7 linked regions of the Kluyveromyces lactis genome follow. The protein of the gene in region 3 purifies or fractionates together with the protein of the main gene of each other region. This does not show direct contact. Links are inferred from orthologs where the notes say so. Each region holds a gene or a part of one and is shown on either strand. Other genes may lie near its edges. The genes, in order: CSM3, MRC1, MCM4, CTF4, SPT16, POL2 and TOF1.

Region 1 (3,152 bases), on a different chromosome or scaffold from region 3:
AGTAATCTCAATGTGAATAGCGATGATGAGGATGACGGTGCTGAATCACATGCTGTCAAGAAACAGGTTGCTCAATGGAATAAACCAACCGAAAGGCAAGCTGCCAATGATATTTGTATCGTAATAACTTGTCGTAAATCAGTGAAAAAGCTTTCATGGCATAGAAAAGGTGATTACTTTGTCACTGTTCAACCAGACTCAGGTAATACATCAGTTTTGATTCATCAATTATCCAAGCATTTAACTCAATCGCCATTCAAAAAATCTAAGGGTATCATTATGGATGCAAAATTCCATCCATTCAAGCCACAGCTCTTGGTCTGTTCTCAAAGATACGTCAGAATTTATGACCTATCGCAACAAGTGCTAATCAAGAAACTTCTACCTGGTGCTCGTTGGTTATCTACTATTGATATTCACCCAAGAGGTGATAACTTAATTGCATCCTCGTTTGACAAGAGAGTGTTGTGGCATGATCTTGACCTTGCAAGCACTCCATATAAGACCTTGAGATACCATGAGAAGGCTGTAAGAAGCGTAAGTTTCCACAAGAAACTACCACTGTTTTGCTCAGCTGCGGATGATGGTAACATCCATGTTTTCCATGCCACGGTCTATGACGATTTAATGAAGAACCCTATGATCGTCCCGTTGAAGAAACTAACCGGCCACAAGATTGTGAATAGTTTAGGTGTTCTAGATACTATATGGCATCCACGTGAAGCTTGGCTATTCTCTGCAGGTGCCGACAAAACCGCTCGTTTGTGGACTACCTGATAGAACCCTCATGACGGGATATTTGTAAAACACTGTATACTATGGACATCATTACCTATCAATATTACAAGTAGATACTTTCTAATTAGTGTTCAAGGGAATACATTATTATCTTTGGATCAGAGCTCAAAAGGTATCCATGTCTCTCATCATTGCCATTTCCTCATCTGATGCGATATCATTACCGTTATTTGTTGTGCTGGCAACGGTCGTAATTTTACTCAATTCGTCTAACTCTTCAGCGTTAGGCAGAGCGTAGCCATTTTGTGTATGTTGCCGTATGTTTGTATCAGTGGTGGACAACATTTCATTCGTGTGCCGCTGGTGATGCGAAGAATATAGAACATCATCATCATCATCATCATCATCATCATCGTCATAGTTGCCGTCATTATTCTGATTTTTGTCTTTGTCTAGGCTGATAATTTTGGTGGCTTCATAACCATACTGTGCATTTCCGCGGTCAGTCGCTGAGGTAGATTCATCCGTTACAAATAAGCTATTTCGTCCCTGATGAGCAGGTAGTACGCCTGTGTCGTGCATTTGCATATCAGGTACGTTGGGAATGTCATCTCCGAGGAGGATACCCATGTCTTTCCTAACTAAATTCATTCTATACTCTCTTAGCTCTTTGTCAGTTTTCCCCAATGATTCACATAATGAGGTGAAATCTTTGAACTTTGCCTTCGGATACAAATTATGAGCCCATAGCTGATAGAATTGTAAGAAGTTTGTTAAGTTATCGTAAGCTGTCTTGTGCTTGCTGATTCTACAACTTTTCGGAGCATGTTCCATGACATACGGCAGACCCTTAGTGGACAATAACTTCTCGGCAGTAAGCTTTACCCTTGGTTTCCGGGTGTTGGTAGATATGAGCGTGGGATCTTGACCATCAGTTGTACTTGTCATAGAAGGATCCAGGCCATTCACAGTAGGATCCAATTCAAAATCAAGCCTCATGTTCCCATCTTCAGTCGCGTTGCCTTGAAATGCCGAGAGATCGTTCATATCATCATCTATAGACATCGTTTACGGTACTGTCTCAAAAAAGCAAAGAGCACACACACTTGTAGATATAAAAAATACTATTCCGTGCCAAATATGAGGACTTCGACAACTGAGAGCGAGAGACACTATTTATGTTATCTTAAATCGATAATGCTCTTCGACTTCAGTTAAGTTTGGCGTAGTATATTTCACGGAAAGGAAAAGAAATAAAGTCACGTGAACAATATTTACATTTTCTTTTGGTTCGTCTGGTGACATTATCAGCGTCAAGAATCTCAACGCAGACATTTATTGCGACAGACACAGTGACGCGTCGAAAAGTCAAGAGAAGGCATTCAGGGGGAATGCCAAGAGACAACAAAACGGGCAAGCAAAAAGAAGCACCGTGAAATTTTAAGTCAAGGCTGTCCTTCTGATAAGCAAGATAGCAAGCCAAACACTATGTTTTGGCTGCGTTGATAAGAAGACAAATGCTGTCAATCACGTGATAATCCCTCTTTTTTAAGTTTTCTTGGGGGCATTCATTAGGCGCATGTCACATGCTCTGTTGAGGAATGAGTGGAAAGCCACACTTTTTATTGCGGTACTTTCACTTAGGCTGATGAAAAGATCGGTGTTTGAAGTTCCTGCTGAGAGGTTATTGTGAAAGTGTCAAATGATAACGCACATTAACGGGCTGCCTTTTGATTCCTTTGCCCACAGAAGTGGTCCATTTTGTTTCAGAGATTTAACCACAATTTGTTAGTGTGTTATTGTTATCTTGTTGTAGTATATTTTATGGAGGTTATATATATATAAGGAATAACCTTTCAGTTGTTGACAAGGCCTATGTAATAGATTCGAGGTTGTCTGTATCTTGTATTGATAAGTTAAAAAGTGTAAGAAAGACGTCTCATAATAAGGAGTAACACAGGATACCGACCTCCGAATAGGCTTAACAAGCGCCTACTACAATATACCCATTAGCGTCCCCGTTTGACAATATTCAACAATGTTCACAGACAATTTTGGAAAAGCCAAAGATACGCAGCAGGTTTCCCAGGTGATAGTACAATGCTTCAAAAGTTTAAATTCAGTTCCCAGATCGACTCCAGACCTAGAGCAAGACTATTGTGATTCTGATGAAGAGGAAGATTTGATCGTGGATTTAACGACAGGGTCGTTAAAGCCCAGGAATTTGAAGAATTATCTACTTATGAATGAGGTAATGAATGGCCTAGAGAGCCTATGACGCTATGGTATTAAAGCCAATAAGGGGGTTTCACATCTACTTTATTGTGTCTACCGAAGATTTGCATACCAGAGAGATGCATCTTTTAATGCCTTTACTGCCTGGCTTTATCTCTCATTTTATTTTCATTTCTTTC
Region 2 (4,554 bases), about 1.5 Mb from region 3:
AAGAAATTGGAAATCCTGATAATTCGTCTCCATCGAGTGGACGACCCATTGTGGAAAATCGACAACGGCATTCAAGCTCTAACAGTTACTCTACATCGATAGTAATAGGACCGAATGGCGCAAAGTTCATCCGTGGGCTAAATGACCCATTAGTAACTTGTACTGTTTCATATAATGAACTTCAAGAGGCATTGAACACTGAATTTAACTTCTGATATAATGATTATACAAATGTAATTTTAAGAGATTTTATAATGAAATTGACATATTAGTTGGATGGGTCAGGTGAAACTATCGGAATTGGAGTCAAACAAGCTAGATGTTGGTTTGCGTACCAACGGTGTGGATTTTCGGCCTTGGGGTGCCTTCAATTTTCTCTTTTTACCCAAGAAAGTGATGGCAGATCGAGAACCAGAGGCTACTCTATAAGATTTAGATATAGTAACAGTTTTGATCCCCGTTTTGAACTTGTCATTAACATCTGAGTTTGACGAAAAAGACTTTACGATGCTGGGCAATTTGAAGTCCAGAGATGTACCATCCACATCATCAAAGAAGGCGGAGTTTCTATTCCTTTGAGGGGAATCGAGAGATTTAATATTGCTTCGCTGTTTCAAAGATTCCAAATCCTCAGTTGCATCATGTGCTGCTTCAGTGACCTCAAATTCATTGATATCATCATCTTTTGCACTTAAAAACGATAATGAACTCTGAACAAACTCTTCTGATATGACAATTTTCTTCTTTCCCATCTCATCTCGAGTATTGCTGAATGATGTGACAGCAGGGATTGACTTTCTAGTTATATCTTCCACCATACTATCGAAAAAGGCTTTTGATTTTGAGTTATTGACTACACCGTCCACATTTTCTAGTAGCTTTTGTTTCATTATTTCTCTTCTTTTTTCCCTAAACTGTCGTAGTAACTCATCCTCATCATCGCTTAACTCAAGATCTAGTGCTCCTCGGCCACGTTTACGAAAGCCTCCGGTATTGATATCATGTAAGATTTTATTTATCATCCTTTCGTCCATTTCTTTGTTCTCTAAGGCTAACCTTTCTCTTATTGAAGCGGTATCAAACTTGCTTTTGGAAAAATCATCTATCATGGTATCCAAATCTGAGTCATAGTCATCTGAATTCTCTCCGTCAGCACCACCAACACCATGCCATTCATCCTCAGATTCTTCTGCTTCCATTTCCAATATTTTGTTGAGACCAGTTGATTTAAGTACTTGCTTCCGCTTTTTTGCTGCCTCTATTTCCATTCTTCGGCGCATTTTAGCCCTTTCTTGAAGCCTATTCCTTTCTACTTCGTCGAGCTCGTCCTCTGAGGAATCAGAGTCTACTGAGGAATCGGAACTTAACTCTCCCACCAATAATTTCGCTGAATGTGATCTGTTCATCTTCAGTTCTGAATTTGAAGGCACATTTCTGTCACTTTGATCAGCACCATCATTTTCCGTTACATTTGAGGAAGTTAAATTATCGCCATAATGCCCTAAATTGATGCCAATCGGCTCCTGGGTGACTTCATTATCATCACTTGACGAAGAACTCTCGTCATCATCTATTATAGGATTGTTGTTTTTATGGGCTGCCGATGTATCCGCGCTATCTTCGTCTGAACCAGTGGACCCGTGTAGCCCTAAATGCTGCTCGACATCACTATCTGATAAGCTTAAATCACTCTCCATCACATCGCTATCAGGGACATCGGATGCGCTACCAGAAGATGCAGCTTTACTCGTATCTTTTGATTTCTCTCTTTCTCTTTTTTCTCTTAGTTTAACTCTCCTATTCCTTTCAAGCTCTTGCTCTAGAAGCTTTTCAACTTGAATCTTTTCATCTTCAATCGCTTCAAGTGATATTCCTTTTTTACCGGATATTTCTCTTCTAAATTCAAGTATCTGGTCTCTGTTCTTTGTTTTCAAAGATGTAAACAATTCCTTCAAAGAGTCAACTGTAGAAACATGCATGTTCTTTGCTTTAGTAGCCTTATTCCTGGATCTCTTAGCTTTAATCAGCAATAATGCTGCCTTGGACGATTGTGATTTATAGTCATCTTCAGATTCGGACGAAGAGTTCAGTTCAATAACATTTTGTGGACTATTTTTCATAGTAATGGCAATAATCCCATTCATATTAGTAACAACACTCTTCTGTTTCGTGACTAACTCTTGAGTAGATGCCATATCTTTCAATTCATCAGCATCATTTTCCTCATCTGAAAGATCTTCTGCGTTGGATGACTCCGAATCATCAAAAGCTGCAATGAACTGTTCAGGGAGGTATTTCTTTCGGACAGCCTTTAATGGTGCTACAGGTAAATGTGGTTCTTCTATAGTATCTTTTATAAGAGGCACGGCTTTCTCCTTTTCAGCAACATCAAGTTGAGTAGCGACCACTTTTTGCTCATTCTCTATTTGAGTTCCATTTGGTTTAGTTGCCAGTAGTCCTTCATTGTTGTTTGTTGTCAACTTAAATGTAAACGAAGTATTTCGAAAGGAAGTTTCTTTACTGTGCAGCAATTTACTTTCGGTTGCAGCTTTATCAAGAGTGTGTTCATCTGGTGTAGTCTGTGTAATTTCCTCATTGTTCAATTGTGTGTCTAAATCTTGCTGTTGTCTATCAATGGTTCTGTTGGTGCCCTCCAGTGCCTGAGTATTTACTTGAGTCTTTGCCAGCCAAGATGAAGAGAATGTAGGAATTAATTGTGTCTGAGATATTGGATGTTTTTTCTGTTGGATTTCCACTTCACGCTGCTTTGGTACTGCAGCAGTTTCACGCATTGCCTCAAACTCATCGTCCAACTCTTTACCTTCATACAAATCGGTATCACTGTAGAAGAATGTGCTTTTTTTACTGTTATCAATTGCCGAAGCAGTGCTATCATCTGAATCTCCATTTAGTCTCTTTTTGACTCTTTCAAGCAGATTCTCTGCTAGAAACTTGTGCTCTCCCACGTTCAGCTCTTCATCTTCTGCATCGTTCGCTTTAGAATATGTTTTGCCTTTCTTTTTATGAATGCCAACGTTCAAATCATCTAGTAGGTCCATTCTGCACTTGATAATGTGCCGAAGTGTTTGCAAGGTGTTGAATTCCTTTAATAAAACGGTTATAATAATGCCTTACCTGGTAACATTATCGTGCTTATAAGATTGGGCTGCGAGCCTTAAATATTTACGCGTTTTCTCATTTTTCTTTTCAAAAAACCTTCTTGATCGTACGTACTATATTTTTGTCACACCGCAGGTTTTGACATAAGGAAAAGCAAGAACGTTGCTGGCATGAATGATAGTTAGTGAAAAGCGTATACGTGGTCCATAAATATAATCGTAAAGTGTCTACTGGGACGATTTTTGAACAAAGCAACTGGTTGAAACTTAACTTAAAACTATATTTCTTAATTTGAGTCATGAGAAAAGGATGGAAACGCGATTATATAATAAAATACTTACTAGCGCTTTAATCGGTACGCTGTCTTTTCCTGTCTCCTAAAGAGCTCTTTGTAGATTTTGAAATTGAGCTTTTGTAGTCGGTTTCTTTTGGTGCAATAAAATCCTTGGCTCTCTCGCTTTCCTTTTCAGCGTGTTTAGCGGCTTGTTGTTCCCTGCGCTCATGTAACTTTTTGACTTCCTTCTCCCTCTTGCTCAAGAAATACTCACCGGACTCAATCTCCAAATCAACCTTTCTAGGTAATTGTGCAGGTGGGAATGGTGTGTATATTTTCTTCTCCTTGATCTTCTTTGGTTTCTTTCTTGCAACATTTCTCTTCTTGAACATAGGTAAAAATCTAGACCAGTCTTCCTCGGCTAACTCAGGCTTCTTAGCAAGTTCTCTCTTTATCATGAGTTCTTTGATATGGTAAATAGGATGTACGTTTTTCATACAATCTTCGACGACACGGCGTACTTCCTTTAATCCTTTATATGGTCCCATTACTGAGACAGTATTACCTTGGACAAGAATATAACATTTTGTTAGAAGCTCCAAGGCTTTCAAAGTGTTACCATTAGGACCCACTAGTCTCTGCCTTCTTTTCACGAACCTTTCTTTATTAGAAACAAAGTTACCAATCTTTATAACATCACAGGCAACATCGTCTTCTAGGATTTTCACTGCTTGTGGGAATGGCACAGATCTGGCCAAAAGTTTAATCAAATCACGAGCCTTCAAGATTACTGCTGGATCATACGTTTTTCTTGTAGTCTTTACAGTCATAGAACCTTCAACTAAATTCAATTCGCATGCAATATGATGTGCATCGAGAGACCTCGTAACGTCTTTCCAAACTGATTTCAAGTACGCTTCTCTGTACTTTGGAAATAGAGTCATAAAACTGGATTCTTCAGCAAAAGGAAGGCCAGACTTGTTGTCCTCGGGTTTAAACTCCTCGATATTCCATTTGTCAACCTCGTCCGTATCCCAAGGCTTGTCTTTATTATGAGTAGAGACCATCTTTCAACTCACGACTAAATCAATATCTACCTCTTTTTCCGATACTTGTGAGTTCGCAAAATTGTCTGTTGGCCTTTAGTACGCTTCAAGCTA
Region 3 (4,613 bases):
GAACATTCCTGTCTTGATATATGCCGGCGATACAGACTACATATGTAATTGGTTGGGTAATATGGCGTGGACCGATGCTCTCACATGGAAGGACCATATAAGCTATGAAACGTTACCCTTAAACCCATGGTATAGTTTGAACGGATCCGTCCAGTTTGGTGAGGTCAAAAACCACGGACCCTTTACTTTCCTCAGAGTATTCGAAGCAGGTCATACGGTTCCATATTATCAACCACTAGCTACTATGGAAATGATCAACAGATGGATCTCGGGGGACCTTTCTTTAGGCTACTCTAACTAAATATGCTATTATAATGTCAAACACTTTCACGATGATATATACACAGAACGTATGTATATAAGCAGAACATGCGGAAGGTCGTTATTCTCATTTAGCCCTTTGCAAACTATGTAGAGGCTTTCTCAGAAAAACTAGACTTGATAATATCTATTCATACACGGCCATTCAAACGAATTGATCTTCTTAGACCTTCTCCTAAGATTACTACCTTGTCTTCTTGTTGCAATCTTGTCAAAGCGTTTGATAATTCGATACTCTCCACTTTATCTTGCGATTGTTCGTTTATAAGCTTGCTTAGTTCGTTGAAACTTATTGTGTCTGTTGTCCTTTCTGTCAATATCTTTAAAATTTCTCTCGCCAAGTCTTCAAGCAATTTTCTTTGCACAACCGATTTACCAGTTTGTACAAGGTTCATATCAATTTTACCAGTTTTAGGATCCGTAGCGTAATCTTTGATGGCAGACTTTATCAGTCTCACTGCTTCTTCCACATCTTCAAGTTCAACTCTTTCACTTAACCTCATCTTAGCATGAGCTTCTGAAAGTCTAATCATACTTTCTAACTGTCTTGTTGTTGCGGTAATTCTTTTTTCATCTGATCTACTGTCATCACCCATCTTTCTCATACCGACATATGCCCTCACAAGTTCAGTCTTGGCTGACTCAGTTATTACCGGGTGAATGTTTTGTTTTGCATAGTTGATGTAGGCTGTCAAGAATTCAACTGGTAGAATATCACCTTGAGATACAGAATCCGGTCTGTCTTCCAGGTATAAACTGGTTAAATGCTTAGCGAGTTCACGATCAGACGCTTCGTTGACCTTGTCAAGCACTAGATAAACGAGATCAAATCTTGATAATAATGGAGGCGGCAAATCAATATTTTCAGTCACAGGAAGATTAGGATTGTACCTAGAGTTGATAGGATTGGCACTAGCCAGAATTGAAGTTCTAGCATTTAAAGTTGTAATAATACCTGCTTTTGCAATAGAGATTGTTTGTTGTTCCATAACTTCATGTAATACTGATCTAGTATTATCGTTCATCTTATCAAATTCATCAATACAACACACACCACCGTCAGAGAGAACTAAAGCACCACTTTCCAACACCAGTTGCTTAGTATCCACATCTCTTGTAACATAAGCAGTTAAACCAACAGCAGAGGAACCCTTACCCGAAGTGTAAACACCACGAGGAGCAATCTTATGAACATATTGTAAAATTTGAGATTTAGAGGTCGAAGGATCACCACATAGTAGAATATTAATGTCACCTCTATATCTTCCACCTTTCTTGAAAGTTTTATTAGCACCACCAAAGAGTTGTAATAAGATTCCCTTCTTGACGTCATCTAACTCGTAAATACTTGGTGCGATGGAACGTGACAAAACATCATAGACATCCGATCGGCGAGCAGTTTCTTTGATCCTCCTAATGTCTTCGCTACTCAAAGTTCTAATCTCTTCCACATTATCAATCTGGTTCTGCAAGAGTTGTTGTTCAACAGTAGAAGTGTCCACACCGACTCTATCTTTAGCCACCTTTTGGATATGAACCACATCGATGTATGTCTTGTATAGAGATTTGAGGGCTCTTTGCTTTGGATTCGACCTGATTGGAATAGATCTAAAGATACCTGAAACCTCAATTCTATCACCAGCACGACACGAATCAACCAGCTCATCATATACACATAGGGAAACAGAGTGTGGAGTTTGTCCATCAGGGACTAGATCAGGCGTTTCTTGTAACTTTATCACTTGTCTGTCTTGGAAAGTGCACCTATTGTGAACTAAAACCATGGAGTTTGGGCTATTACAGACCACTCTGGGACATCTCACTGGTTCTTGAATAATACCACGATCGATCTCAACTTCTACAGTATGATTGCATACGTTACATTTGAAAAATGCAACACTCATATCTGGGATAATAGGTGTGGATCTTAGAACTAAACCTTTGATACTCACCAATTTATCAATATCATTAGGATTAAGCTCTCTCATACCCTTTTTGGTTTCCACATTATATGGTCTCACTTTGAACAACTTCGATTCAATTTCATTCAAGTAACTCTCTAACCCATTATCAAGTGCTAAGGATACCATACAATCTTTAACAGTTTGATCCATAATAGCTATAATTTCTTGAGGGTAATAGAGAATCTGATGAAACAACTTTTCAGTATGTTTATAAGCCAGTAAATTTCTGATATCAAGGTTCAAGTTTGAAGTACCGAGTTGTCTCATTTGATTCAATTGATTCACATAATACAGCTCTTGGTCTGTTGTTTCGTTGATGAAAATCTCCTGATCATCTAGCTCCTTTCTATATTTCAACTTGAAAGACATCAAAAATTCTCTGAAACTGTTACCACACTCTTGGATCGAAACATTGGTACCCCAGATGATCTTCAAAGGTTGATCAGCAGCTTCAGATGCAGGTCTCGATGATGATGAAAATCCATTATCCGATGAGGAAAGGTTATTGAAAGTGACAATTCTTCTGGGAGATGATAAGTCAGATGCATTAATTTCGCCTCTTCTAGATCTAGAGTGTCTTCCCTCTCTTGCACTTGAGGATAGAGAGGATGAATAGTTCAATAGATCAGATCTCAAATTGTTAGATCTTAAACCACTGCTACTAGGAGCGGCGCGAGCCGTCTCTTGCGTGGCATTTGACGAAGACGAAGGATAGTGAAACGGAGAAGAGCCTACGCCTCGGTCTTGAGATGCCTGGGAATCCTGTGTACCATGAGGAGCTGGAGAAGAGCTAGGATCATAAAACAAATTTGGTGAACTTGGTTGTTGAGCTGGAGGTGAGGACATAATATTGTTAACCGTTTGTCTTCCTGTGTTCTATGGATATATACTGCCACTATTATCCAAATGCTAATTCAGCAATTTTATCAAACCTACTAAGCAGCTAAATAATCCTAGGTTCCCTGATATATCACCTTTCAATTGATAATGTTATCTTGTTTGAGATGCTTTGAGTGAACTAAGTGAAACTCGTTAAGATTTTACACATTTTTGGTTACATAGTTACATTTCCTAAAGAAGAAAACAGAACAAATTGAAATAAACAAGGTTCTAATGAGCCCTTGCCACCGTTGATAATACCATGGATCCACTCAGCTCAATGGTCAGTATCTTCGCCGATCAGAATTGGAGTTGCATTATTTGAAGAGGGAACAATGATCACGTGATGTACAATTGTTCTGTTTTAAAAGAAATTAACCTTTAAAATGAAATAAAGTGGTAACAAGAACTCTGTCAGAGGCGAGAGATAAGCGAACCACTTTCGCCAGTGTGACTCAATTCTTCTGCACAATATCATTATTCAACGTGAATTTATTGTACTTTCGTTTAGTTGTGTTTTTGTCCCGTTTGGAAACTGGTAAGAAGTGATGAATCCCACTGTTAGTGATGAACGAGATCGGGCAGAGAGAATTAGACTCAGCATAATGGGGCCTCAAACGAGGTCCAGTCGAATGAGCTATCGGATATCAAGGTTCAAGTCTACGCACACTCTGTACATACTATTACTTGCTTCTTTGGCTGTATTGCAGTTTATTTCCATAGCATTTTTCGCAAAAGGGTTCCTTTTAACAAGGACGGTGTTGGATAACGTTGCAGAACTTGATCCCCAGCTTCCCTTCGAAGCTAAATACGATAAGATGGTTTTACTAATAGTGGACGCATTGAGGTTTGATTTCGTTATTCCAGTAGATGAAAATCATGCCAAGTACAACCCTAATTATCATAACAATTTGAAAGTTCTTTATGAGACGGCCCATAACTCAACGGATTCTGTCTTGTTGAAGTTTTTGGCTGATCCTCCCACAACTACGCTACAAAGATTAAAGGGATTGACAACAGGTTCCTTGCCTACATTTATAGATGCAGGATCGAATTTCAATGGTGATGTGATCGATGAGGATAACTTAATAAAACAGCTTTATCTGCATAACAAGAAAATATTCTTTGCCGGTGATGACACTTGGGATGCCCTATTTAATCCGTATTTGGCTCCAGAAAGTGTACCATATGAATCCTTGAACGTTTGGGATTTAGACACAGTCGATAATGGGGTTATTTCTTACTTAGAGGAGTATTATTTCAATGAAGAGAAACGGTCTGAATACGATATCTTGATCGGACATATGTTAGGAGTTGATCATGTCGGACATAAGTACGGTCCTAATCATTTTACCATGAAGGAAAAACAGCTTCAAGTTGATGAGCTATTGCGGAAAATTATAAGCACTGCAGATGATAACACGTTATACGTTGTTATGGGTGATCACG
Region 4 (4,672 bases), on a different chromosome or scaffold from region 3:
AGAAGAACAGGGGATTATCATATATTATTGAAATCGGCCTCAAATTTGGCCTCAATAATCGTGTTGATTTTTCTTACTAGTGGAAGTAGTTCAGCTCTTTCTGCAATTTTTCTTGCAGCAGATAGGGCCTTATCTTGCTTCAGTTCGTTGACGATTGAAACGGCCTTGTTAACATCTTGCTCGGAACAGACATAAGCTAAAAGTCGTAGTAAGGACTTATCATGTGTTGCTACCAGATGCTGTAATAGATCTGTTTCATTTCCGTATATCTCACCTTCATTATCCATCGTGTCTTTTAGTAAATCACTTAGTATCTTGGAGCGTAGAAATTCCTCTTCTGCTGCTAGGTACATTGGAATTTCGACACCATTACTGTTATCAATATCTTCCACATCGCTGCTGTCGTTACGATTATCGTCTTGTGTCTTTTGAAGCTCGGATTTTGATACAACTGGGATTCTGACTTCCATTTCTGTAGGAACGGTCATTGGGATATCTGGCCATGCGTTCTTCCCCTTCAATAATAAATACGAAAATGTATCGAAGTTTAATCCTAATGGCCAAACGTGGACGTTCTTCGGATGCTTACCCCCTGACATCTTCCAAAGTTCTAAATTGGTATCAACTATGGGTACCCATCTCGCGTCACTACCACTTCTCCATTTGGACAGAATTAACAAAACATTATCATGACCAAACATACACGGATCACCAAAGCTTGAGAAGAATAAGGATTTGATACCTAGGGGGTTGAATGAATTGAAAATATCATCGTATTTTAAAAATTCAATGTCTTCATCATCATTTCCCGGCTGATTCTGTTGAGGCAACGTTATTGGTAAGGGAGATTCTCTTTGGAAGTATTTATTGCCAGTTTGCGGATGTTGTTGGAACATCGAGTAAGTAATACCATGATATTGTGAGTAATGAATGGTGAACACTTTGTACTCATGAGCAGACAAAGCAACAATAGGTGACATTTTTTCTATTGCCAGTGGTAACCCAAAATCGTTATAAGTACGAAGATATCCGAGAGATGTTCCTACAATTACACGTTTAGGAGTACAGGCAATTGAAGTAACTCTTTCTTTGGAAAGTAAGGGAATCTTTTTAGTCCATGAATCTCCAGAGGGACTATGTGGCTTGTATTGAATTTGACCCATCTTCGACTGGCCCAATAGTATACCTTCATCGGTCAGTGAACAAAGGTCATATTTGAATAAATCGTCGAAATGATACTCACGGAATCGACTAACATCGAAAAAAGAGACCGTTATAGAATTGCTACCGCCTTCATTTCTTGTTGTCCATACATGACCTAGTTGGTTTATAGTAAGGTATCTTTTATCGCTATTCCCGAAAGGTGTCGCGCCTGTTGAAAATGGTCGGTATTGGAATTGAGCTGGTGGTTGGTAAATTCTGCGATGATTTACATGATTAGCTGTCAAAGAAGGAATTGATTGAACATGAGTTTTTGGTCTCTTATATTGTGCGGCCTCGCCATTATCATCCTCAATAAAATCATCTTCATTCTCGAAATTGTATGTACGCTTAGGTTCATGTTGATCCATTTCTGCATCTGTGAAAAGGTTGTCAGAGTTTATATCTTCACTAACCTCACCTTTGTCATCAGCTTTGTCGTTGTTTTCATATTTCGATCTTCTGTTATTATCATTCTTGGAAGGCTCGTAGAACTCAGGACCGTTGCTTGTTTGTTTAGATAAATCATCTATGTCACTATCGTCAAATAACTTTTCATCATCAGAGCCAACAAAAAGCTTACCACCGGTATTTGAATAAGCAACTGTAGTATTTACTGAAACAATGTCATTGAACGTGATAACATCGCCCGACCAAGTACCTGCTACCAAGCTAAGTTTGGTTCTCTGATCGTTTACTCTCCAAGACAAAGAAGTGATACTATACCTAAAGCTTTCGTGAACAAGCTGTGTACCAGTACTTAAATTCCAAATAAATAGATGAGAATTTTGGTTGGAATTACCGACTGCAGCGATTGTGTTTGAATGAATTTGGTCTATTGTAAGTGCGTCCCAGTTGTTAACGTGCACACTTGGCTTGAACGAGGTCACCAAATCATGATCTGATAATTTAAATAACTTAATGACACTATCTTTTGCTGGAATTGCATATTGGTCTCCTTTATTGGTCCATGCAACTCTAGTGCATGTTCTGTTATCTTCGCATAGCATAGGATCAAGTCCATCTATAGCGACTGAATCGGCGTTTTCAGTATTATTCTCAGTGTCCGCTGGTAGATCATCATTGAAGAATATCTTAGGTAGCTGATCATGCAATGTGTGGATTCTATTGGGTGTAGTAGAACTTAAAGAGTAGAATACAACGTTACCGTTACTGAGTGATACTGCTAGAATGTTATTTTGTTTGTTGTATGATAAACTAACCAGTTGTTCGTCCAAAGTTAATTTAACGTTTGAATTTCCCTCTTCTAATGCAACCAATGTCATTTCTAAATCATCCCCACCTACAACACATACTTTATCATCATGAACTAAGGCCAAATCACGCAATGGTAACGAGGATCTAAAGCATAACTTGTTCTTGTTTTCCAGTACATTGTACCAGTATAGGTCGCCATTGCGGGAAACAACATATAAACCATCAGCTGAATTTTGACTCAAAACAAATGCGCTTGGTTCTTCACAAATATCAATGATATCAGGTTCCTTCTCAAGATCAGTTAAATTAAGAACTTTCACCAATGCGTTCTTATTTAAAGTGAAAAGTCGAGAACTGTCACTACTCAACCGTGCCTGGGTGTTCCCACCAGCAACAAATACCCTATTTTCAGTTAGTTTAATTGCCATTGGATGTTTCTGGGTATGTCTGAAGGAAACTATTCACTAATATACTGAGAACTGAGCTTTTTTCAGTGCATCTTATAGATTTCAAGCAAGTTGTGTCTCATCTTCTACTTGTTAAATCACCAAGACGCGTTTTTTCTGTTAAAAATACACGTTAGCTAAGAAGACAGAAATGAAACACAGAACTAGCACCATCAAGTATTAGTTGACACTGTTATAGTAGTGACAGTGCAGTGCATGCAATTGCCACAAGGTAAGGATGAGGTATTGGACCAAAAGTATCTAAACATTCTTGATTATAGATTTACTTATCTTAAGGAAAATTAGTCACGTGATGCGCAGTAATCATATCACCCTTATTCATCTGTATTGCACCATCAGTTTAGTAAGTGTGTTCCGAAAACTACCCATTCAAACACATGTATCGGTCTTTGCCCTTGTTATATACATGTATTTTTCTAACTATCAATTCTATTCAGCGTTCAAGATATTTAAAGGTACGAATCGATCCTTATATTCGAACGATCATTACCAGAAAAACGGAACAAGAGCGAAAAGAGAGGGAAAGTACTGTGTGAAACTACTCTCACCCAGCGATGACCGACCTAAATGATGATTTGGATCTACCAGTAACTAAAGAACTAAGCAGAGAGTTAGTTTCCAATTTTGTACGGAAGAATGGCTGCTTAGATATAGATAAGCTATTACTTGAGAATAACTTCCAATACGTATCGTTAGACGAACTCTCATATGAAGTATCTGCCTTGAAGCAATCAATGGAACAAACTATACTGGATGAAATCAATGACAATTATCCCGAGTACATGGAAATATGTGACAGGTTTAATACTAGTGACAATAACGAGGTGTTGAATAAGTTAAAACAAGTCTTGAATGATCTACAACAGTTCAACAAGCAATTACTCCAACTTTGTGATTCCTCAGTGGCTGAAACTAGAGAAAAAACAGTAACAGCATTATCCTACCTAAAATCGCTTGATAACCTATTTGGTAAACTGGACGATATCACAAAGCTATCAGAATCGCTAAAGATATGCCAGCAACTTGTATCATCCTTACAGTCTATGGTGCAGCTGAATATCGACGACGAGCTTTCCTTCACAGTGGCAAAGCAGCTCTCTACTATACTAATACGTTGTGACTACAGATTTAGACATTTGGAAGACAATGATTCCACCCTAATTACTCGAATGAGAAACGACTTTAAAAGTATTCTCGAGACCGCAAAGCCTTTAATTAAACCCGTTCTCGAGAAGCAGAACCAGCAAACTCAAACCATAAAAACTTAAATATATGATAAATGCGAACCCAATTCAAATAAAGTGAGATTCCACCCCCTAGGTGGAAGCGAGTCTACGCTATGAGTATCCTTACGTAAATGTGTATAACATCTCTGACTTTGAGCCTCATCTCATCATAATGAACGATCTTGAATTTTTCAGTTCTTCACAACAAAAGCATCAACAAACATCACAACTAACATTAAATCTATAAGAACGAACTGACAATATAGCAGGGCCAGCGTACTAACAGAACACTGTGAATATCGATAAGGTTCAATTTTCTGTCATCAATTAGCCATGTTTGGTGCAGTGAATTCGGGAAATAGTTCAATGAACAATGGCGGCGGTTTATTTGGTAACAAACCTGCTGCTGGAAACACAGGGTTCCAGTTTGGCGGTCAACAACAACAACAACAGCCACAGCAGCAGCCTGGTGGTGCTGGTAGCTTGTTCGGACAGAATAACAACTCGATAGGTAATACATCAAACACTGGAGGAGGTCTGTTCGGAAGTACACAGCAACAG
Region 5 (4,573 bases), on a different chromosome or scaffold from region 3:
CCTTCGTCATCTTCTGATCCATCGGCGAAATCATCTGACCCTTCATCACTGAATTTTTCGTCATCCGAATAATCCTCTTCTTCTTCAGAGTACACTTCCTCATCAGATGGATCCTCATCAGATGCCTCGTATTCTGAAATTTCTTCCTCGCTCTCATCAGATCTTTCATCATCGGATCCAGTTGCCAAGAACGACCACCCACCATCCAAAAAGAATTGATGAGGATCATCTTGTAGCGACTTCATGATTGTCGACCAGTTCAAGTTAATTGTAGAAACAGTATATGGAATATCAACATCTGTTAACCATGTCTTAATGAATTCAAGTTGCTCAATTGGTACAGTGTTTATATGAGAAACAGGCTTTGTCAAATCTTTATAAACAAAGACCATGTCAAAGTTCTTCAATCCAAATTGAACTCTTTCAAGTATACAAATCTCAACTTCGTTCAAATTTATGACTAAAAATGGCGGTTCAACTAATTGAATTAAGCAGTCTCTCGTTGGCATACAGAACACGGCTGATCTAGAAGGAACACCTTGGAAACCAAGATCTCTAAATGGAGAATCTACATCTAGGAGACCATCGGATGCCTCTGCTATAGCTTCAGCAAAATATCTAAATTCTTTATCAAGGGCAGCACGTTTTCTTCTTTCTTCTTGTTCTTGTTCTAATTCATCTTCATCACCATATCTTCTAAATTTCATGTTGTTGCGTCTGCTGTTTCCTGTCTCATCGACAGCCATATCAGATGCTTCTCTGTAAAATTGAATATCTTGGATCTTCTTTTTACCCATTAAAATAGGATTCTTTAGATGAACATGAATGATCACAATAAGTTCTCCCTTTGATGATTGGAAGAATAGATTCTTGATGTTTGAGAATAGGATATCAATTCTTGAATCTGTCCTCAATGGAGACTGGTATCTGATACCATTTTCATGAATGAACACCGTACCTGGCACACGCTTGGTATCGGGACTAGGCCTGACAAAGATTTGGTCCAAACGTTTAGTCCTACCAGTTTTGTTCTCCACCAATTTAGCCTGGACAACAACATCAGCCAAAGCTTTTCTTTCCTGTTCACGTTTGGTAGATTCCTTCTTAAGATCAGTAATTTGTTTGAAAACATCGCTCATGCGAGCACCATCCTTAGATCTTAAAGTTAGAGAACGAACAAATTGATTCTCTGGGTTCTCTTCATACGGCAACTCCTCAGTTTTCTTACCGACACCTCCAGCACCAGGAGAATGGAAATTCAATCTGAGATAAGTGTATTCACCTTCTTCATTTTTAGAACCGTTTTTGTATGAATTGATATGAAAAGGTACAGGTCTACCATAGATTGGTAGAATGATTGTCTGACTCTTCCAGTCGACATGAATCTTCAAATCACGTACATTGGATGGTATTTGAGTTTCCCTAACGTAAGATTCGTACTTTTTGAAGAAATGCTTTGGCTTCTCATCGCCATCTACTGCATCTGCATCACTGTATCTGAGTAAACCTTCCTTCTGTAATCTTTCATGAAGTTTTCTTTGGTTCTCTTTGCGGATTTGTTCTTTCTCTTCATCGTCAGCACGACTTTCTCCACGTAGCTTAGATCTCAAAATCTTCGATGTACCATCAGGTTTTGGTAAAGCAGGAGGCTTGCTTTTTTCAGATTTAACAGTTGCAGCTTTGTTCTCTTCTTCGTTGTTGAAGTAAAACGAGATTTGGGATCTAGCCTTTGTGTACTTGGTCAAAGTGGATGGCTTTCCATCAGAAGAAAGTTGAACGGTATCTGCTAATTGAACAGCATATACCTGACCAGTTTTACTATCCTTTAAATTCCCAAATCCGAGTGAAATATTGTAACAGCAATTCTCTGAAATTTTATGAGCGGTTGGTTTAGCATTGATCATACCAGCAGAGTCTCTAAATTCCAACCCCATCAAAGAACCAACATTTTTAGTAAAGTGAGATAATAATTCCGGTTTCTTTTCTTTGATGAATTCCAGTGTCTTTTCATAAATAGATGTTGGATCAGCTTCTACTTTTAATAAATCATCGATGATCTTCTCTTGCAAAATCAATAAAAAGTCATAATTGTCAGTCATTTCATCTGTCGGGTCAATCAAAAAAGTTCTGGTGATATTGGAACAGTAATTCTTGTATCTGATACCGCATGAGGCTAGGATGGAACCCTTTCCGAAAAGTGAGTCGTTGTTAGAACGAGCAGAAACCTTAAGGTCGAACTTAGAACCTGATTGCACAATTGGAGAATAGGCCCAATCAAGGAAATTAACGTCGAATTTCTCGTCGGTAGGACACAAAGGATTTAGATCACTTGAAAGTTTCTTCAAAAACTTGGAATCATCTATCTTGTTTTCAATTTTATCTGACAACTTAGAATTTGATATTTTTAGTTCTTCGTCAACAGCATTGACGATTTCATTTGACATAAGATCCATGAATTTGTCAGATCCCTTACTGGATACAGAAAGGTAAGCCTTTTCCTTATCATCTTTGCCCTTCCAAGTAGAAGACAAACCAGCAGAGCAATCGATTACGTTTAAAGAATGCGTCTTTTTAGCTTCTTCCCAAAGCGGTTTCCATTCAAGAATGAGCTTACCTTGATATGAATCCTTCGTTGGGACACCGACAGTATTACCGTTTTCTGATAACAGCTTGATGAGGTCCTCAAACAATTTCTTATTGTGATTTGCATCCTTGTTATTTCTTTGCCAGATCTCAAGTTTGTAATCTGATCCTTCAAACTTAGTAACAGCGGGCAAAAGATGTTTCGCCTTAGCACTGCTGGTTATGATGACACCTTTATCCTTGAAAAAGGCAATCAATGTAGCTGGAAACTCATACCCTAGCAACCAATTATGCAAAATGGTGGTCTTTTGATAAGGGTTTTCCTCATTAGTCGAACCAAGTACAAAGAGAAGACTATTTGGAGAACCTTCAAATCCAGAATATGCCTTCCCTAATTTTGTAAACCTATCATAAAAGGCTTGGAAATCAATTTCAATTCCTCCGTCACTCATTGTTACTTGAGATTAGCACAATGGGGTCCTCAATATCTAACCAAAAAAGACAACTGCCACGCCTAATAGAACAATGAGTTTGAAATACCGAGCCACGAAATGCTTTGCAGGTTATTTCAATAAAAGTACCAAAGAGTCCCTTTGCTTTAATTTCCTGCCAGCTCTTAAACAATGGGTATAGTTTGCAAAAATTATTAATGTTACTCTTCAATTTAAAACTATAATATATGCATTATTGGCGTCGCGTTTTTTTTTTACTAAATTTTGAAAAATTCAGGTTAAAGGGAGAATATATCACTGTAAACGGATTTGATTCTCTTCACGTGACTGGAGATCAATTCCATACTAAGATGCTTCCAATGTATTTTGAACCGAGGATGACTATAATAGAAGTTAACAGTGGAAAGTGCACGTTTACTTTTCATTATTGGGTGTATATCAACATCAAAGCCTATAATCACATCGGGGTGGTTCACTGGTTTATTTGTACCAAAATAATGAGTGGGAACAACTTAAGTTCTGCTAACCATCTGGATAGCGAGAAACTAACAGAATTATTGAGGAAGAAGTATCCTTTTTTGGTGATGTATGATGGGAAGAACGATGTAATAGATCTTGGAAAGTTTTATTTAGGATTTGCACATTTTATGTCGCGAGAAATTACTTTTGCGGAGCAAATCAGCAGCGAATTTATATTCGCCTTCATGCGAATAGACTCAGAAAGAAGACGTCTTGAGCATGATGACGAATTGTTTTCCAAGGCATCCGATGATCTTTTGGCTACAAGAAGAAATATAAACAGATGGGCTAAAGAGTTAGAAGTGCAAATACTTCCTATTGTACTCTCTGCATACCAAATTCTTGCAGGTGATTTAACTGAGGGAGTAGAGAAGATAAAGGAAGCACTTAGGGATGAAACTTTGGATGGATTAGCCATAAGACTCAATATCCTTTCAGCGTATGCTATCGATATTATTAACGAAGTGATAACTATTTATCCGGAAATGTACAACCTGTCGGTATCTAATAAGAGAAGTCTTGGGGATTACTCTCTACACCTCACATTAGCAAGTCTTCTTTTGCAGTCTCTTCATCTATTTGCCGACCTTTGTGAACGCCATCCGAATTTATACCAACGATCGTTGCAACCTTTCACTTATGAACAATTCCAGATAGAATTGCAGGAAAAGTCGGAAGCAGTTACCAAGATCAACGAGGAATACGAGGAACTTATTAAAAGCATTACGACCATAACATTTAACAATGTAATAAATTACATGAAAGACAAGAAGACAAAACTACGAGACACTTCTAAAGAATACCTTTCTAAAGAATAGATATGAAGTAAGAAATTTCGACGGAATTTGTTATATGCATTGCATCTCATCACGAATAAATAAATTATAGCATAGAATCATTCTGCATTTCCACATGGAAACCCAATAATTAACTCCTCTAAATAATGAATACTTCCCTAGAGAAAGCTACTAGCAGTTTTATAAATATGAGAAAGATTTCTAATGCTCATCAACCACTGA
Region 6 (4,661 bases), about 1.3 Mb from region 3:
CTGAATTGTTCTGTATTTCCGCATCCTATCTCATCCATTTTTTCCAATAACAGCGGGTCATCCGAGAAACCTGGTGTTTGTGATACAATATATTCAATCTCCAGTGGTTTATATTTGGGGAAGAAGATCGTGGGAACCTTGAACGTTGAGTAATTGGACAAGAATGAGGATTTGGAGAACGAGATTATTAACCGAAGTTGAATCATCGCTTGTGGAAGAATAGATCCAGGTAATGCCATGAGTTGCGTAGGTGTTTCCAAGTTCACCTGTGAATTATCATCCAGCCCATCGAGTATAACATAAAGGTTAACGCGTTCTACCAAGTGATTAAATCGGATAAACAATTTATTGATAAATTTCTGCAAAAGATATACGTCCTCGGCTTCAAATGGATCAAGATCAGTGGTTTCCACACTAGGAAATTGTTTCAGTAGCAATTGACGCAGACATGTAGCCAACCGCTGACAGGTGGATTTGCTATATATCAGATCTTTCGCTGGTAGTAAAATGTTCATGATTTCTTCATTGCAAGCAAAAAACTTCTTGAGGGTATGTGTCTTACCACTTCCATGCGGCCCTTCTATGAACAAGATTGGCGGGCTCAGTTTTGGATCGGCATCGACAAACGCTTCCAAAAAATCTAGTTGTTCTTCTCTATATCTAACATCAGGTCGTACCATTCTGGGTCACTTGATTCGCAGTAAATAACACATAGTGCGTCTTCATTCAGGTGGGAAGAATTCAACCATGCTAAGTTCAGAACAATTTCCTTTATGTGTATATATATTTTTTATTTTCAGATCTATTTTAACACATAAACACTCATAAATGTTAAATGTAAACACATCAGCAGACTAAAAGATAATACAACAGATGCCAGGGACTTGAACCTATAAGAAATCATTCAAAGTTTCTTTCAATGTTCTAAAGTCAAAGCTTTCCGCCAAGTTCTTGAAAATTTGTAACTGTGCCATGAAAGATTCCTTAGATACGGCAAGTTCCCATTTTCCTGAACATGGACAATAAGGTGACATTGCATCCTCTTTGATCTTATGACATTTATTGCACTTAACATCTTGGGTAATAAACGATGCAACTTGGGCTTGAAGTCGTTCGATCACATGCTCTTCAATGAGATTTTTATTCAAGGATCTGTTGCAGCTCTGGCATATGAAGACTCGTTCCATACTTTCTCTGCAAATATCAATATCTGATATATAAGAACAATGCTCACATATGAAGCTAGGGATCACAAAAGATGTACTTGGATCCTTGAATTCAGCTAATCTGTCGAATTCGCGTATTTCAAATGTCTTTAGGAGTTCTTTCCTTAGCGCCCTTCCTTCTAATAAATGATTACTGGAAAGTGATAAAATATGTGATAAGTATTTGACCAACTCAAGAAGCGGATTTTTCACAACTAGATGCGACCCAGGAATTGTGGGAGATAGATAATCCTTGCCGAAGTTAGGATCAAGAATATATTCCTGTTGGTTCTTGTAAAGTTTCTCTGCTCTTTTGATGAGAGCTTTTGAAAAATTATGGGTAAAACCGCCTAGAGAGTCAGTTTGACTATCTACGTCACTATCAGCCAGTGTATTCTTTGGTAATTGGGTTAATCTTTGTGTGGATGCATTTCGCTCATGATAGGCTTCCTTTGTCTTAACCATACTATCCAGTATGACTACTAACCAATCATCAAACTCTTGCTGATAAATTGCAGGTAAGAAATCCTTTATATGCCAATGAGAATAAGCCTGGAAACTCTGAACTTCTTTATCTTCAATCTGTAGACATGCTCTACCACCATAATTATACTTATCCATCCAAATCAGGACATCCCAATATCTATCAATTTTCAAGTCTAGATAGGCAAACATTGGTTTAGATCTGATCGCTTTCATGAGATACTGCCCATAGGCGTAAGAATTCTCAACGGAACGCTTCTGAGTTTTGATTAACAGTTTGTTTCTGTCTGCGAAGATGAGAGATGATCCTGCCAGCTTAAATTCATTGATCAACTGTAACACGGCCTTTTGAGTGAGAGTATGGATGTGATATCTCAAAGCATAATCGAATAATTTCGCGTCAGGGTTATACACCCATCCTATAAATGCGTGTACTAATGAGTCAGCCGTGATATTATCACCTAAGGCATCATCCCAAAGCTCTTTCAACAGTGCGCGAAGCACTGACAAGGCCGAAGAAGAGAAAGAATCTTCAACAAAACCGAAGGATTCTTCCTTAGATGTCGAATTTTGGGCAAGGTCTGTACCTTCAGCCTCGTTCAACATGGTGCTGCTCAAAACAGTGTTCACAACAGAGTTATAGACACTAATTTCGAAGATAACGTCATCATAGATATCAGGGTTATTCATAATAGGGAACACCAAATCAGTCATGAGCTCCGCTTTCCGTGGGTCAAAATCTCTTTCAACGCCACCGTGGTCAGGCAACGGCGATTTATCATTCCACCATAGAACGATGTTGTTCTTTTTCAACTGGCGAGCGTACATCAAATCGATAATGTATCCGAGATTATCGACTTTGAGGTTACATATTGGAATGTTGCTGTATTTTGAGAGAGTAATCAAATTTGAGATCCAAGAACCAAGAGACAATATGTGATTGACCGCTTTCCTCATTAATTGTCCCTGCCAGTTCAAAGCTGGCAAATGTGTTTCAGCAGTAGCTATTTCAACAACAGGGAAGGCATTCAAAGGCTGCAACAATTTAGCAACTCTATGGGTATATGGAGATTGTAGAATCACCATTGTGTGAGATCCTTTTTCTTCCTTAATATTTTGCAGCATCTTTGAAAGGTCCTTCAGTAAACGCTTTAGTTCAGTATAATCATTCACGTTAAACGAAACGTTCTTGTTTATCTTGATTAAGTCATAGTATTTATCGAGCTTTTCGAACTTTTTCTCGTATATCTCGTTGTAAAGAGATTCTATAGCTTTATTAGAAACTTCTTGAGCATGAGTGCTTGGTTTCAGCACAAATATTTCTACCACATCTTCCCATGCTTTATACAAGAAATAGAATTCATAGCCGATATCTGTTACAAAATGTAGAAGGTAGGCAATATCAAGGTCAAACCTTTGGAGATATCTATCTGCTTCAACAGGATGTAAATTCTTCATATGAAAACCGTTCTGTAAACCTTTTCCTAGCGCACCCATTTTTTCAGAGCTGAATTGAATACACGTCCCTAGCCGCATTATGACTCTTTCATTCGAAGAAATTGAGCTCTCGTATATTCCCAAAACATTCTCGTTGTTCAATACGCTTGATGCTTTATTAACTTCGTTGAAATAGGTATCTTCTGACATTGTCAGTTTAAACAATTGACTACTGCTTTCATTGTTGATGCCTTTCACGTTAGGCAGTTCCGCGTTGGACTTTTCGACGATACAGTTTTCAATCCCTCCCGAGGGGAAATTCTCCGTCTTGAAGTTCATGAGTACAGTTTTGGGAATGTTTACTTTCAGCAATTGGATTTTCCTATCGATTAAAGCATAAATTTCTACGACACCTAAATCGATGGACGGTTTACATTGTAAAATTTCCCAGCTTTTATCTGCATATGATTCAACGTGCTTTCTTATCAAATTGCCCAAAGCAGACCGATCAGATGCTCGTGAAGTTTTACCAAATAGCTTTTCTCTTTTCTTTCGATCAATATGCTGGATCTTCCATTTGGTTTTTTGATATTGTAACCAGCCCACATAATCATCTAACATCGGAGGCATTTCAGAGGGTAGCAGCAAAGACTCTTCTTCTAGTGCTGTATCCCCATTACGTCTTTTGCTCTTTCTCTTGTACGTGACCTTAGCGATACGTGATTTATTCGCGGAATGTTCATCAAAAGAGTCTTCTATATCTTTGACTTCAGGTGGAGCTTTGGTAGATTTGAAGAAACGATTCAAGGAAGTCTGTTTGAATTTATCTTCACTAACAGCAATTTTCTTTCTTAACCAATCAGGATGTTCAACACGGGGTACAGGGTTTTTAATGTTTTGTAATGCTGCCGGTATTGTGATAATTTTTTGAACAACAGAAGCCAATCTTTCTCTATAATAGTCCCAATCGATAATAGCCCTTGGATCAAAGTCATTGAGACTTGAGTCCAATAACCATCTCCTTAAAAATGTGCGCTTAACATGAAGATCGGAAGAAAATATAGCAACAGGAATAGCCCTTTCTGTCACCGGTGCATTATGTGGTTTGGAACTGATAATAAACTTACACTGTAAGCCTGCGTCTTTAACCATTGCTTCCCCCAAAAATTCACCGAGCCTTCTTGCGGTGGTAATGGAAGTTGACTTTTGTCCCTGATACTCCTTTAATGTTTTTGACATACTTTTATTCTCACAAATCAGTTCAATAAGATCTTCAGTTTCGAGCATTGCACCCTTAGAATCTAATACATCAAGCCATCTATTAGCAACTGTTGCTACTGCAGCGTAACATGACTCTAAGGTTGTTCCTTCCAGGAATAACTTGAAAATATCACTCTGGAAATTTTTGATTAATTGTAGTTCACCTCTTCTTTTTAGTTCGAAACCTTTTAGTTCAGCCAATGAACCATCTTCGTTGAACACAGCATATCTCTTCTTGATACCTTTACCTTCTTCTTTGGAAGTTGGCAGTATCAT
Region 7 (4,600 bases), about 1.3 Mb from region 3:
GTAGGTCGCCTCTCCCTTCAGGAAAACCCCACAATCACATTATCAAAAAAACTTCAATGTTGCTAAGCATCTGATCCTATTGTCCCCTCGTAGTCGAGCGGAAAACTTCGGTTATGAATGGAATGTGTTCCACACACTTCGATCCTGTTTATCCATAGATGCTTTCACACCTTCTATGATAAAGCTCAATCGATGCTGTGGTTGACTTGTAGGAAACCCGTTGTCAATCGATACCGCAAACTTTAAAAATTTTTCAGTTTACCATATTTGGTAATACATAGTAATGTTTTACCACACATAGTATAACCATATCGCAGTCATCATAGTGGTCTGAAGGAACAAAGCAAACACCAATCACACAATTCTTCCTCAGATAGCATTATAATCCTGAAATTTTCCTTGTAACAAAACCATCTAGCATTGGTCCTGTTTTGAACGTTCCATTTTTTTTCTTTCTTCACATTCTTAATCGACTGTTCTTTGTCATACTCTTGTCTACTTGCTGCCGTAAATCATTTTAAATAACTTGTGCGCAGTGCAACATAAATCTTACGTTTATCAAAGGCAGCAAAGGCATGGCATAGGTTCTATTCTACTTCCGTAGTTAATAATTGAGAGCATATTTCAAATATATTTTTTGCCTCAGAAATTGGAACAATGTATCTCCCCGCAATGATCCTATACCACGACACAAGATCACATACCCGGTATGTATAATCCCCCAGCACTCAGTAGACATATTCACCTCCCTCATTCATGTTCTCTACATTTGAAAGTTAAAACCTCAAAATCAAATTTCAGATCGATGAGTTAAAAAAATGGAAAAACCACAGATTAATGCTTATTGATCTTCATTGACAAATGAGACATCGCAAACCGGACCAACCATCTTTAACACACTATTGCAGTGTTTTTGTCTTTTTTGAGGAATTTCAAAAGCTTTTCCACTTATGTCTGCTCTTCATTAACGGAGAATGTCGTCACATAAGCCGAGTGCAATCAGAACCCTTATTTTTTGCTTTTTGTACGCTTTATTTACGACCGTTCCTAATACGGTCATGAAGATCGAAAAAAAAATATGCAAGATTATTTCTAGATTGACACAAAGGAGAACAAAGTAGCCATAGGAGCAGGTATAATACAATTTGATCAAATATTTTAATATATGGCTTGTGTTTGGTATCAATCTACTTGAAATTATATGGTGACTGCTACTATTCCTTTAGTTTGGTATGAAAGCTCAGCTTGAAAGCAAGAACAGTGAGTTACTTTCCCGCATGATATTTGGACTTTCGTCTCTGTTTCGTCGTTGGGAGAACAGTAATCTAACTAAAATGTTACGGAACTAATATTTAAAATTGAAACTTATCAATTGCTGATAGTGAGGCAATAAAACAGTGCTTGTACCGTGTATTGATAGGGGGGGCGAAGAATTACAATTTTCAAAATCACGTGATCTGGTTTTGTCTTACTTTTCATAGGAATCAATTCCAATCGAATGAGATTTTGATCATAAAACAGCTTTCAACAGTTTTACGCGTTTGAACAAAAGGATGAATATTCGAAGGGCTACCTTAATCAAGAGGGCAAATTCTTTCCAATTTGACCAATTTGACAACGAACATAACTAGTATTAGTTGAGAAAACTATTAGAAAACTTCTTTGGGTTCGTAGCTTTGACAGAAGGTAACTATGTCAGAACCCGATGACGTTGATACTGTGAAGGAGAGACTGGCAGAAGATAGGCAAAACATACATATTCAGAATGAATACCAGGATATTTCATACACAATCATTAAGGCAAGAATTGGTATGTTAGCCACGGCAATTGGAGGACCAGATCACTCTGTGGACTCCGTTAATCCACCTTATAAGGTAGGTGATGATTGCTTGGCTTGTATTAAGGATTTGATTCGTTGGTTCAAGTTAGTTGATGATAACCAGAAGAGATGGGATGTAGAAATGGCCACAGCTGAATTCAAGATCCTGCAGAATGATCTAATACCTATTCTATTGGATTGGGAGGCAAAAAATAGTGCTGCTACTAGGAAAAGTAAAAAAACAGGTGAAGATATCTCGATTTTCTTCCCGAATAAATCATATCATGATAGAATCGCTCTAGGAGCGTTGCAACTTATGGTGTTGATGACATGGCCCTTAATCATAACAGATCAGTCATCGTATAACCAAGTGAATTATTACTTTGAGCTGAAAAAGCATCAATTGCTGTATAAGCATGCAATTTTGACAACAGAAAACGGAAAGGTTCTCAAGGCAGCAATTAGATTAGCCCTGAACGTCATGAGTGTGGATGTAGATCATAGGACTGCTAGGGATGACTCTCTGATACGAATGGTTCTTAATTTTCTAAAAAATGTGGTGGCAATAGAACCAGGTGAAGTTACAATATCCAGTGTCAAAAGATTGAAGAGACCTTTGACTATGGCTGAAATGTTACCAACGAATATTACCGTTGATGATATTTCCATAAATAGTGTCATAACCGCATTTGATAAAAATAAAGTTTTTGGCTTTCTTCTAACAGTGGCTAGTTCTTTGTCAGACGCTGTTGACCCAAATTTCGTTAGTTGGCCGTTGTTAGAGGTCATGTTCTTCTTAACAAAAGATATTAACCCCATCCGATTGTTCAAAAACCAGAGAAAATCTTATAAATTGGGTACGGATCACGAGATTACAGACTCCAACATGACAACGTCAGGTAAACACCTTTCAGAATTACTTGCAAAGGAACATGAAAAGAAGCTTAATGTAATAAAGAATACTTCTTCTCGTCATTCTAGATTTGGCGGTTTATTGTCTATACAGACACCTCAAAATACGCGATTGACAATTGCTAGTAATTCTGTCAACATGCGTGATGATGCGGCATTACAAGAGTTAGACTCAAGAAAAAAATGGAATAAAACCATCACTATGAGACTCGATGTTATTGAAGGACTCAGTAGCAGCTTTTTTAGTACTGAAGGTAATTCTATTTACATGTCTTCTGACAACATTACTAGCATAAAAGAGTTTTTGGCAGATTTTGTTGATTCCAGTTTCAATTTGTTATTGCAAAATGCCACAGATAGTTTTACGAGTGAAATTCAAGATCAATTACCATTGCATAAGATTGAATACATGTTATTCATTTCGTGGTTTGTGAAATTCCAGAGATCACGGTGCATTTATGAAATTGATGCTACACCGGATTATGTCTCAGGCGCATTGTTAGATGAGTGTTACATTCTCTTTACAAAATATTTGAGAGAGAGTTATGAACAAAAGAATTGGCCAGTGGTCCATGCGGGTATGCTATTGTTCACGGAATACTTGGAGTTTTTATTATCTCTCGACCAATCATGGGAGGCAGATGTTCAAGCTGTGATAAGTAAGATTTTGAGCGAAAATATGTTGCAGCTATTGGCATCTCTCCCAAAATCTGCAACCAGTCATTCTTCACAATATGTTAAAGCTTGCATTAATTTAACACATGTGGTTTTGAAAACAATTGATAAATTTGATGAGAACAGCTCGTTGACTGTGGAGTCAAAAAGGAAGCGTAAGGTGAACCTTAATCACACAGCAATTGAAAAGTATGCAAAAGATAATGATTTAGACTATGAATCAGCCTTTGATATATTAGAAGAACAATTTAAACAAGTGACCATAAACTTTGATAAGGTTTTTCGCGGATATCTGACAGAACCAACGATATCAACTTACATCAGATATCTACAGTCTTACAAAGAACTGGAGGACAAAGACCTCATAAGGGTTCTAAAATTCTTTCAGAGAGTGTTTGTCAAAGCGAAGGAAGAATTATTTCTATTTCGAATTGACTTCATGATATTATGTCGAGAAATTCTAAGTCAACAAGGTCTGCCTACAACTTCTGAGCTAAGAACTCATTTCACAAAATTCAATGAGTACTACCTTAAGCAGCTCAAAAATAAACTGAAGAAAATGCCTTCTTTGTACATCAATATATTGTTCCCAATGCTCCATGACTCCCAAATATCATACTATATGAGACATGGAAAGATGAAGTTGACTGAAGGTACTCCTGACATAGTATTGCCCAGCACATTTATCAATATTCCAGATGAAGGCTCTCTTCCTAAAAAAGTTTTGTTAGATATGCAAGTTGGAATCTTGGTTTCTAGTCTTATCGATGATGGATATGAAGATTTGATTGAAGCTTTGTTGCTTAATTTACAGTCAAGTTTCGATGGATTGAAGGGTAAGGTAGCAGAAGGCATCAATTCACTAGAAGAGGAAAGAGTAAAAAAAGTTGCATTCAATGCTACTAATTCTGAGATAAAGAGGGCCTTATACCAACAGCCCGAATTCAGAAGGCTTTTAATCCTTGCTGGTTTTGCAATTCCGGAAGCTAATCAACCTGCTTGCTATTTCATTAATAATAAAACTCCTACTGAGGTCCAGTTGGTAATTGAAACTATACAAAAGCACAGGTCTCTTCCATTTGAATCTGAAATTGGAAAACCAGCTAGTTATTATTTATCGTCACATTATCAAGAGTATGAAGACCCTGAAGAATACGGATCAGATTTAAACAATGGAAGTTACTTCGAAGATT

The links.
Region 1: the proteins of MCM4 (region 3) and CSM3 purify together in Saccharomyces cerevisiae (affinity purification with western blotting; 8 studies listed by BioGRID, with this or other methods). This does not show direct contact. The link is inferred for Kluyveromyces lactis from reciprocal best matches to the Saccharomyces cerevisiae genes MCM4 and CSM3.
Region 2: the proteins of MCM4 (region 3) and MRC1 purify together in Saccharomyces cerevisiae (affinity purification with western blotting; 7 studies listed by BioGRID, with this or other methods). This does not show direct contact. The link is inferred for Kluyveromyces lactis from reciprocal best matches to the Saccharomyces cerevisiae genes MCM4 and MRC1.
Region 4: the proteins of MCM4 (region 3) and CTF4 purify together in Saccharomyces cerevisiae (affinity purification with western blotting; 15 studies listed by BioGRID, with this or other methods). This does not show direct contact. The link is inferred for Kluyveromyces lactis from reciprocal best matches to the Saccharomyces cerevisiae genes MCM4 and CTF4.
Region 5: the proteins of MCM4 (region 3) and SPT16 purify together in Saccharomyces cerevisiae (affinity purification with mass spectrometry; 4 studies listed by BioGRID, with this or other methods). This does not show direct contact. The link is inferred for Kluyveromyces lactis from reciprocal best matches to the Saccharomyces cerevisiae genes MCM4 and SPT16.
Region 6: the proteins of MCM4 (region 3) and POL2 purify together in Saccharomyces cerevisiae (affinity purification with western blotting; 3 studies listed by BioGRID, with this or other methods). This does not show direct contact. The link is inferred for Kluyveromyces lactis from reciprocal best matches to the Saccharomyces cerevisiae genes MCM4 and POL2.
Region 7: the proteins of MCM4 (region 3) and TOF1 purify together in Saccharomyces cerevisiae (affinity purification with mass spectrometry, with the first as the bait; 3 studies listed by BioGRID). This does not show direct contact. The link is inferred for Kluyveromyces lactis from reciprocal best matches to the Saccharomyces cerevisiae genes MCM4 and TOF1.

Annotation. Positions count from the first base shown.
Region 1 is NC_006042.1:2,463,475-2,466,626, forward strand, and holds CSM3 (Csm3p), read right to left. Parts: upstream 1,804-3,152; coding exon 904-1,803; downstream 1-903. Other genes in the region: ribosome biogenesis protein ERB1, read left to right, coding at 1-777; KLLA0_F26686g (uncharacterized protein), read left to right, coding at 2,777-3,016. UniProt on the Saccharomyces cerevisiae protein: Forms a fork protection complex (FPC) with TOF1 which is required for chromosome segregation during meiosis and DNA damage repair. FPC coordinates leading and lagging strand synthesis and moves with the replication fork.
Region 2 is NC_006039.1:35,116-39,669, forward strand, and holds MRC1 (chromatin-modulating protein MRC1), read right to left. Parts: upstream 3,060-4,554; coding exon 282-3,059; downstream 1-281. Other genes in the region: VAC17 (Vac17p), read left to right, coding at 1-215; ribosome biosynthesis protein KRR1, read right to left, coding at 3,469-4,461. UniProt on the Saccharomyces cerevisiae protein: Required for normal DNA replication. Phosphorylated in response to DNA replication stress. Phosphorylation allows it to mediate the activation of RAD53.
Region 3 is NC_006039.1:1,537,255-1,541,867, forward strand, and holds MCM4 (MCM DNA helicase complex subunit MCM4), read right to left. Parts: upstream 3,132-4,613; coding exon 453-3,131; downstream 1-452. Other genes in the region: KLLA0_C17490g (S10 family peptidase), read left to right, coding at 1-301; mannose-ethanolamine phosphotransferase GPI13, read left to right, coding at 3,713-4,613. UniProt on the Saccharomyces cerevisiae protein: Acts as a component of the MCM2-7 complex (MCM complex) which is the putative replicative helicase essential for 'once per cell cycle' DNA replication initiation and elongation in eukaryotic cells.
Region 4 is NC_006038.1:972,813-977,484, forward strand, and holds CTF4 (chromatin-binding protein CTF4), read right to left. Parts: upstream 2,847-4,672; coding exon 18-2,846; downstream 1-17. Other genes in the region: Golgi transport complex subunit COG2, read left to right, coding at 3,440-4,153; FG-nucleoporin NUP57, read left to right, coding at 4,445-4,672. UniProt on the Saccharomyces cerevisiae protein: Accessory factor for DNA replication. It plays a role in accurately duplicating the genome in vivo.
Region 5 is NC_006042.1:906,440-911,012, reverse strand, and holds the start of SPT16 (chromatin-remodeling protein SPT16), read right to left. Parts: upstream 3,036-4,573; coding exon 1-3,035. Other genes in the region: KLLA0_F09867g (uncharacterized protein), read left to right, coding at 3,263-4,372. UniProt on the Saccharomyces cerevisiae protein: Component of the FACT complex, a general chromatin factor that acts to reorganize nucleosomes. The FACT complex is involved in multiple processes that require DNA as a template such as mRNA elongation, DNA replication and DNA repair.
Region 6 is NC_006039.1:232,061-236,721, reverse strand, and holds the end of POL2 (DNA polymerase epsilon catalytic subunit), read right to left. Parts: coding exon 891-4,661; downstream 1-890. Other genes in the region: ORC5 (origin recognition complex subunit 5), read right to left, coding at 1-680. UniProt on the Saccharomyces cerevisiae protein: Catalytic component of the DNA polymerase epsilon complex which participates in chromosomal DNA replication.
Region 7 is NC_006039.1:187,391-191,990, forward strand, and holds the start of TOF1 (Tof1p), read left to right. Parts: upstream 1-1,692; coding exon 1,693-4,600. UniProt on the Saccharomyces cerevisiae protein: Forms a fork protection complex (FPC) with CSM3 and which is required for chromosome segregation during meiosis and DNA damage repair. FPC coordinates leading and lagging strand synthesis and moves with the replication fork.